2 linked regions of the Arabidopsis thaliana genome follow. The protein of the gene in region 1 interacts with the protein of each later gene in a pairwise test. Each region holds a gene or a part of one and is shown on either strand. Other genes may lie near its edges. The genes, in order: MYB6 and AT2G42660.

Region 1 (4,178 bases):
TATTTTTTGGGTATAGAAATTGAATCTTACAACAATGGTCTATTTTTACATCAACACGCATACGCTTCCGACATTCTTCATCAAGCAGGCATGACAGAATGCAACCCTATGCCTACCCCTCTGCCACAACACTTGGAAGACCTCAATTCAGAACCCTTTGAAGAGCCAACATACTTTCGGAGTTTAGCTGGCAAGTTACAATACTTAACAATCACAAGACCGGATATTCAATATGCCGTGAACTTCATCTGCCAAAGAATGCACGCTCCGACCAACTCTGATTTTGGCCTTCTCAAACGCATACTCAGGTATGTGAAAGGAACTATCAACATGGGGCTTCCAATCAGAAAACACCACAACCCTGTTCTTTCGGGATTTTGCGATAGTGATTACGCTGGCTGCAAGGACACTAGACGCTCCACTACTGGTTTCTGCATCCTCTTGGGATCTACTCTGATATCTTGGTCTGCAAAGAGACAACCCACTATCTCTCACTCCTCAACAGAAGCCGAATATAGAGCTCTTTCCGATACAGCTCGAGAAATCACTTGGATTTCCTCTCTTCTCCGAGATCTTGGAATCTCTCAACATCAACCTACACGAGTGTTCTGTGATAACCTATCTGCTGTCTACCTCTCTGCAAATCCTGCTCTTCATAAACGATCTAAACACTTCGATAAAGACTTTCACTACATCAGGGAACGTGTGGCTCTCGGTCTCATAGAAACGCAACACATCCCAGCAACTATTCAACTTGCTGATGTCTTCACCAAGTCACTACCGCGACGGCCCTTTATCACGCTTAGAGCCAAACTCGGCGTGTCTGCGTCACCGGTCTCACCCACGCCAAGTTTGAAGGAGGGTGTAGAAGACAACCCAATAAATAGAACGGGCTTTGACAAAAACAAAGACATGGTAGCCCAAACTCAACAAAGCCCACTACAGAAGCCCAGTCAACATATGCAAAAGAAGATAAAGACCAAAAGCTCTTTACCTGCAAAACAGAAGACTGTCACTAATACGGAGAAGAAGACAATAACACTTGAAAACAAATTCAAGCCGTTGCAGTCGCTGCCGTTGCAGTAATTCACAATAAATAGCTATTGATTAAAGATAGCATTGTCAAGGATTCTAGATTGTTCTAAAGAAGTCTATAAAAGAAAGATGTAAAACTCCATTGAAAGATAAGCAAAATAAAAACATTTTTTGTCAAGAAATAATCACAGTTTTATTTTTCTCTTCAGGAACAACTAAAAAACTGTATTTAACTAAAACAATTCAGAACTCCTTCATACGACGTCGTTCTTTTGTTAATTTTAAATTTAATTAATGGGAAAAATGTCATTAAAATCTTCAACTCATTGCAAACATTGATTTAAATCCTCAACTCTCGACGAAACAAAATAAATATTTGACTTTCTAAATAAATATCTAATTTTTGTTGACCTGGCGATATTAGACACACTGTTAAGTAAATTACTAGATCCCGTTAACGGAGTTAATTTTTTTGTTAACAGAGGCCCATTAATGCAAAACGTTATTGTTTCCAACAACAGAGTGACGTCGTTTTGTAATAATGACTGAACTAAATTCCCAAATTCAATCTAAGATCTCTAAATCAAGCAAAATTCCTATCTCTAAATCCCCATATGATTTGAAACTGGAGATTTAATTGAGCCGTTATGACAAAAACGATGACGTTTTATTGTTAGAGTAAACGTTGTCGTTTTCAATCAACGAGTATGTTAACACACTAAACGTTCAAGGTCTATTAACCTACTGAACATCATGCCTAATATAGTCATGTCAACAAAAGTTTGATATTTATTTGAAAAGTCAAGAAGGTTTGGTATTTATTTGGAAAGTAACATAAGTTTGATATTTGTTTCGTTCGCCGAGAGTTCAAGATTTAAATCAAAGTTTTCAATAAGTTGAGAATTTTAATGACATTTTTTTCCAAAAGATAACATGTTTGATAAATATTATTTTTGCATTGTATTTTTCTTAACTACCAACTAAATTATAAGAACAGTGAGAGAAAGAAAAAAACAAAAACCAAAATCTAAGGAGAAAAAGTAAAGAGACAAGAAAAAAAGAGAAAAGAAGGTTACTTACTTACCTACCTAATCTCCATTACCCCACACACAACACAGCAAAGCACAGCCTCACTTTATCTCCACATAGTCACATGTACATATACCAAACTTAGTCAAAGTCTCCTCCTTTTTATATAACCCACAAATTGATCTCTTCTCTCTTCTCTTACACCATCTTCTTCATTCACCATGGGAAGATCTCCTTGTTGTGAAAAAGCTCACACAAACAAAGGAGCTTGGACTAAAGAAGAAGATCAACGTCTCGTAGATTATATCCGTAATCACGGTGAAGGTTGTTGGCGTTCTCTTCCTAAATCCGCTGGATTGTTGCGTTGTGGTAAAAGTTGTAGATTGAGATGGATTAATTACCTTCGTCCTGATCTTAAACGTGGTAATTTTACTGATGATGAAGATCAAATCATCATCAAACTCCATAGCTTACTCGGTAACAAGTACGATAACTTTTTCCTCTCTTTCTCTTCTTCTAAAAAAACAGAGTGAAAATAGAAAAACAGAGTCACTTTTTTTTTTCTCCCTACTCTTGTTTCTAGGAAAAAGATTTCAACTTTCTAGGAAACAGAGAGAAAATAGAAACTGGGTCACTTTGTTTTCCTGCTCTTTCTTCTTCTTTGATCTTTCCCAGGAAAAAAGTTTCAACTTTCTAGGAAACAGAGTCGTTCACTTTTTTGTTTCCTCTGTTTTTGTTAAAGCTTTCCTCTGTTATTGTTATTCATATGAATTTGAAATGTTTTGTTTTGCAGATGGTCATTGATAGCTGGAAGATTACCAGGAAGAACAGATAACGAAATAAAGAATTATTGGAACACTCATATTAAGAGGAAGCTTCTTAGTCACGGTATTGATCCACAAACTCATCGTCAGATTAACGAATCCAAAACGGTGTCGTCTCAAGTTGTTGTTCCTATTCAAAACGATGCCGTTGAGTATTCTTTTTCCAATTTAGCCGTTAAACCGAAGACGGAAAATTCCTCCGATAACGGAGCTTCGACTAGCGGCACGACGACGGACGAGGATCTCCGGCAGAATGGGGAGTGTTATTATAGTGATAATTCAGGACATATAAAGCTGAATTTGGATTTAACTCTTGGGTTTGGATCCTGGTCGGGTCGGATAGTCGGAGTCGGGTCATCGGCTGATTCTAAACCGTGGTGCGACCCGGTGATGGAGGCGCGTTTGTCACTGTTGTAATAATTTGTCAAAAAAATCCCAAAAAATGGGTTTTGTTACTTCATTTTTTTTTTTGCTTGAGTCCTTTTGGATAAATATAGAAATTCTTTACTTCAGTTTCTTTGGTATTTTTGTTTTAGTTTTTGTTCATATTACCTTTTGAAGAAAAAGAAAAAAAACGATACATGGTTTCCAAAATAATTTTATGGAAATATATAAGAATATTACACCATTGTCTAGGAATGCAAATGAGTAATTTGAATTTTATTTTGACAATATTGTTATAAAATGTAGAAGTATAAATGTAGGAGTGAAATGTGAACATGGTTGGTCCCTTTTGGACTCTTTCTTATGGATCAACCGTTATCCATTTTTACATGTTGGTATAGATCATAGTTTTTATATGTTTTTTGAAGCAAAAGCTTCTAGAAACTTGAATTAGGTTATAATGGGGACCATATAGTTGCAACTAGCAAGTTTCAACAAATATCTCGTTCACTATGTTAACTATTTTTTTTCATTAGGTTTTCGGTGTTAGTTTATATATAGTGCTAGGACACATGGTCCTCATCTCAACAAACAAACTTCTAGTTTGTAGAACTTTTTATTGTTTAGGAAAAAACTAGAATTGAGAACTTCTATTAATACTTATAGTTGTAGCGTAATTTGGTGCCAACGAAATTAATTAAAAGAACTACTATAGACGTAAACATTGAAAAGGAATGTGAAGAAGCAGCTGATTGGAAGAGATACAAATTGATTACTAAATAAAGAAATATAGAATAAGAGAATAAGATAAGGGAGGAGACATGTGACATGTTTTAGGCAGGTAGGTGGCAGAATCTATCATTAAAACCATATTGTGTACCAAAAAATAATTGACTTTACCTAATC
Region 2 (4,154 bases), on another chromosome or scaffold:
GCTAATAATCATGGTCCTAAAGATACGTAGGCATGTGATGAGGAAGAATTCAAAGACGGTGCCTCATTTTGCGGCGATTCTTTAGGGCAACATGCAGAATTTTTTAGCTTCTTGCATGCATAATAAATAAATATATCAACTGGATCAACGTCCTTTTTACATTTAAAAATGGTTTTGTGCATATAAAACGTCCTTTAGGGAAACAGTTGTTATATTTTTTGTCAAAAAATAAATGGTTTGTACATATAAAACGTATCTAGTAAACATTCACAAAAAAAAAAATCCTCTGAAATGGTAAAATATAAAAGAATTTTCTTGGAAGAAGTAGAACTCGACAAAAGATTCTCTTAACCAAAGAAATTCATGTCGTTTAAAGAAATTCAAGAACTATTGAAACAATTTGAAATTATATATTCCATAAAAAGAGAGCATGGGAAATGGAGGAATTGTGAATGAAGTGTCGGTACGTAAACAGGTTAGGACAAAACAAAGTTTCCTCATCTTTCTTAGTGCCCACATGAGCCTCTACGATTCCTTCTCTCCCATCAATGCTCTCTTCAATCTTAGTTAATTACTTCGAATGTTTGTCCTATCTTCTCTTCTCTCTCATCTCCTATCTTTCTTTCTCTCTCTATCTGTCCATAACCCTAGATTTGAAGATCGAGGGCGATCATGGTAAAAGACTTCATAGAAATTCTATAACATTCAAGCTGTGTTTATATGAATACGAGCGTTGAAATTTGATCCCATCGCGTTTTCATATATGTTCCAAAATGCTTGTATAGATATGTGTGTGCATAGACATAGAGTGTCGGAAATTTGCATCGGGACGATTTATAATTAATTTGGTGTAGGGTTTGAGGTCCTTATTAATTTCACATAAAACTTGGTTCAATTTTGTAAAAAGTGTTTGTACTTATTTTTCTTGATTTGAAACTTATTTTGAGAATTTATGATTAACGACAGCTTATCTATGTTTACAAATACTAATTCAACTCACAAGATGACAATAAAGACAAAGATTGCACTCTAGAAAGAAAGTTGCTTTGCCTAATTTGAACAATTAAAAAATTGCATTCAAAGATAATATACCCGTAATTATTTATTAGTTACCTCTCTCGAATTATATACTGATTGGTAAGTTGGTAAGCCCTACAAAAACATATAGTTAGCCAATTCTCGAAGAGAAACCAAATACTAATATATGGAGGTGTGTAACCCAATGCCCATTGAAAAGGGTCACCAATAATAAAACCAAAAAGATAAAGACAACTTCTGTTTTGTACATACGTGAACTCAAGAATCTTTGGGAATCACATCCTTAACCATTTGACAAAACTCCCTTCTCTCTTAAGTTTTTATTTAAATTCTGTTTTCAAACGTTGGGATTGAAGACCGTCATGTATTTAACCTAAGTATATGAGAAACATGAATATAGATCAATAGCCATCATGATAAAACCAAATGCGTAGAAACGTAATTCATTCCACCACATAGTAATCGGTTGAGAGGTAGACAATAGTTTGTACCTTTTGTCTATCAGGGTTCGAATCAATCGGCTTAGATCGATAGTTCTCATGTTCCGTTTGAGTTCCCCAATGCTAATCTGATTTTTATTTTTTTAAGTTGTTTTGGAGACACTCAAAAACGTGGTTTAATATGACAAAAGGGTAAAGCGTAGTCTCCGGCAAAGGTCAACTTAATTGGAAATTATTAAAGAGAAAATTGTTAGAAAAACAAGAGTGGTTTGGTCGGATTGAAATGTTTGATACATCATTCACAAAACAACAATTCTAATGACACAAAATATTCGACTGCCAATTGTGTATACATATAGACTGGACTATTTGAACCAATATGCTTGATATCAAATATATGATTAATTAACCAATTTAAATAGCCTAGCCATTGTCACATGATATATATCAAAGGCACGTTAGGTAAACAGAAGATGTTTTAAGAAATGGTATAGTTTTTGGAATCTGAATTCATATTCAAATTCACCATATTTAAATCTTGTTTAAAGAAAGATATTATTTTTAAGAAGTAAAGGAGATAAGTTTACATGTCATTGTCACTAAAAGAACAAACGGATATTTTTCTGGTATGTTAACAAAAATGAAGCAAAACCTAATAACTAATGTGATTTCACCAAACGGAAGATTCCAACACACTTTTCCATTAAAAAAAAACATACAATTATACGTAAACATGCATGACATAGATAAGAATTTTATATATCTATATAATTATATACTATAGTTTACGACAAATAAGACTATATTATATACTTATAAGTGTATATATATGATTATAGCTAGTATTATTGAAGCCAACGCCGAAATTATCATAGAGATTTAACCTCTCTCATGGGTTTTTTTTTGTTTGTTTTTGAGTAATTGATCTCGAGAGCTAGCTAAAGACACTCTCGCCGGAGAGACATGGCCGGGAGATCTTCGCCGGGAAAATGCTCCACGTGGCTTGACCTGAACAGAGAAGAAACAGTGGAGAAGAACAATGAAGAAGAGTCATCAGTGGAAGACGAAGACCAAATCACGAATAACGTTAGACAGTATATTCGGTCCAACATGCCTCGGCTTCGTTGGACGCCTGATCTTCATCTCTCCTTCGTTCGTGCTGTCCAACGACTAGGCGGTCCAGACAGTAGGATTCTTGTTCTCTCTCTCCACGTCTCTTTCTCTCTTTCTCTCTCTCAGCTTTGTAATGTAATTGTTGTATGATTTTAAAGGAGCGACGCCGAAATTGGTTCTTGAGATGATGAATCTAAAAGGATTGAGTATTGCACATGTCAAGAGTCATTTACAGGTAATCTTCATCGTCTGTTATTCTAAGATTATCTCAGTTTTGTTCATCTTTTTCAATGTTTTCATGTTTCTGATTTCAAGATGTATCGAAGTAAGAAGCTCGAGCCGTCTTCTCGCCCTGGTAAGTTAGTTTTGATCCGCAGACATTTACCATTCCTTCACTGGGTTTCATAATTGATGGAAATGACTTTTGAACAGGATTTGGAGCTTTCATGAGTGGACAAAGAAGCTATTTGATGGACATGATCGACTCTCGATGTATCCCTCATAGCGATTTAAGACATGCCTATAACTCTAAAACCGTTCCTTCGAGGTCATACAAAGAAACAAGTTCCAGTTACTAAAATGTTTCACATTTGTATATCCGATCCGACCAAGGAAGTTAAAATTGCATTCTTTTCTGTAGGGTACTCAATCAAGACGCGGTCGTTACAAATCTTGGAGGTAACTTTCTTATGCGACCTTCGAGCTGGTTTAGCGGGTTATGCAGAAATGACCGAGACAGCACAGAGAACAAGACTCTGCCTCTACTCGAGGTAACTACCTACTTTCGTTTTAAGAGTTATAGAGGAACAGTTTTGTTAAAAACCGAGGAAGGTACTGTAATCTTGGTGAAATCTTATGCAGATTAGGAAGAAGAACAATGAGAAAAGAGTCCGAGATGAAGAAGTATCATCAGTCAAACGATTGAAATCAATGTCCGGAGGTGGGATACAGTTGCCTGAGTTTGGAAATTGCAGGCAAAAACCAACAGATGATATCAACACAATGCTCTCGCTCTCTCTGTTGTCGACATCATCAGAACCGTAACCAACATACTAGAGAGATGAAGTTTAACTTTAAAAGAGATTCAAGAGTAGAGACTTTTGTTTTCCTTAGCCGTTTCATGGGATGAGTACTTAGCCAGGATCTGGATCAGGCTTGAGTCAGATCCTGCAAGTACTTATCCTTAGCGGTTTCTCTGCATTCAATACAACACCAATTCTGGAATGCAACAAAACACATGTAATAATATGTTTCCTCGTCAAAACCACCAAATCAACTACATGGCAAGTCACTAGTTTGATGAAATAGTAAACGATAATAAAAGTCCTAAATATATAAGAATCATGATGATGATACCATAATAAGACAAAGTCATAATCAGTATCCAAAAAAATCACTCAAGCAGAAAGAATAGAATACTTAGTTATAACGACATTAATATAAAATCTTCTTTTCTTGGTTCACCTCCTCTTAGTCTTAGCTTTGAATCCACCACCAGACTCATCAATGTCCTTCTTTAGCTTTTTCGACTTTTGCCCATTCTTACTCTTCACAATGTCTGGT

Evidence for each region.
Region 2: the proteins of MYB6 (region 1) and AT2G42660 interact in a two-hybrid assay, tested with the Arabidopsis thaliana proteins (one large-scale study listed by BioGRID).

The regions. Positions count from the first base shown.
Region 1 is NC_003075.7:5,990,734-5,994,911, forward strand, and holds MYB6 (myb domain protein 6), read left to right. Parts: upstream 1-2,174; 5' UTR 2,175-2,285; coding exon 2,286-2,548; intron 2,549-2,857; coding exon 2,858-3,305; 3' UTR 3,306-3,525; downstream 3,526-4,178.
Region 2 is NC_003071.7:17,766,546-17,770,699, reverse strand, and holds AT2G42660 (Homeodomain-like superfamily protein), read left to right. Parts: upstream 1-2,320; 5' UTR 2,321-2,441; coding exon 2,442-2,664; intron 2,665-2,749; coding exon 2,750-2,826; intron 2,827-2,906; coding exon 2,907-2,946; intron 2,947-3,023; coding exon 3,024-3,138; intron 3,139-3,231; coding exon 3,232-3,361; intron 3,362-3,452; coding exon 3,453-3,635; 3' UTR 3,636-3,650; downstream 3,651-4,154. Other genes in the region: AT2G42650 (Ribosomal protein L1p/L10e family), read right to left, coding at 4,052-4,154.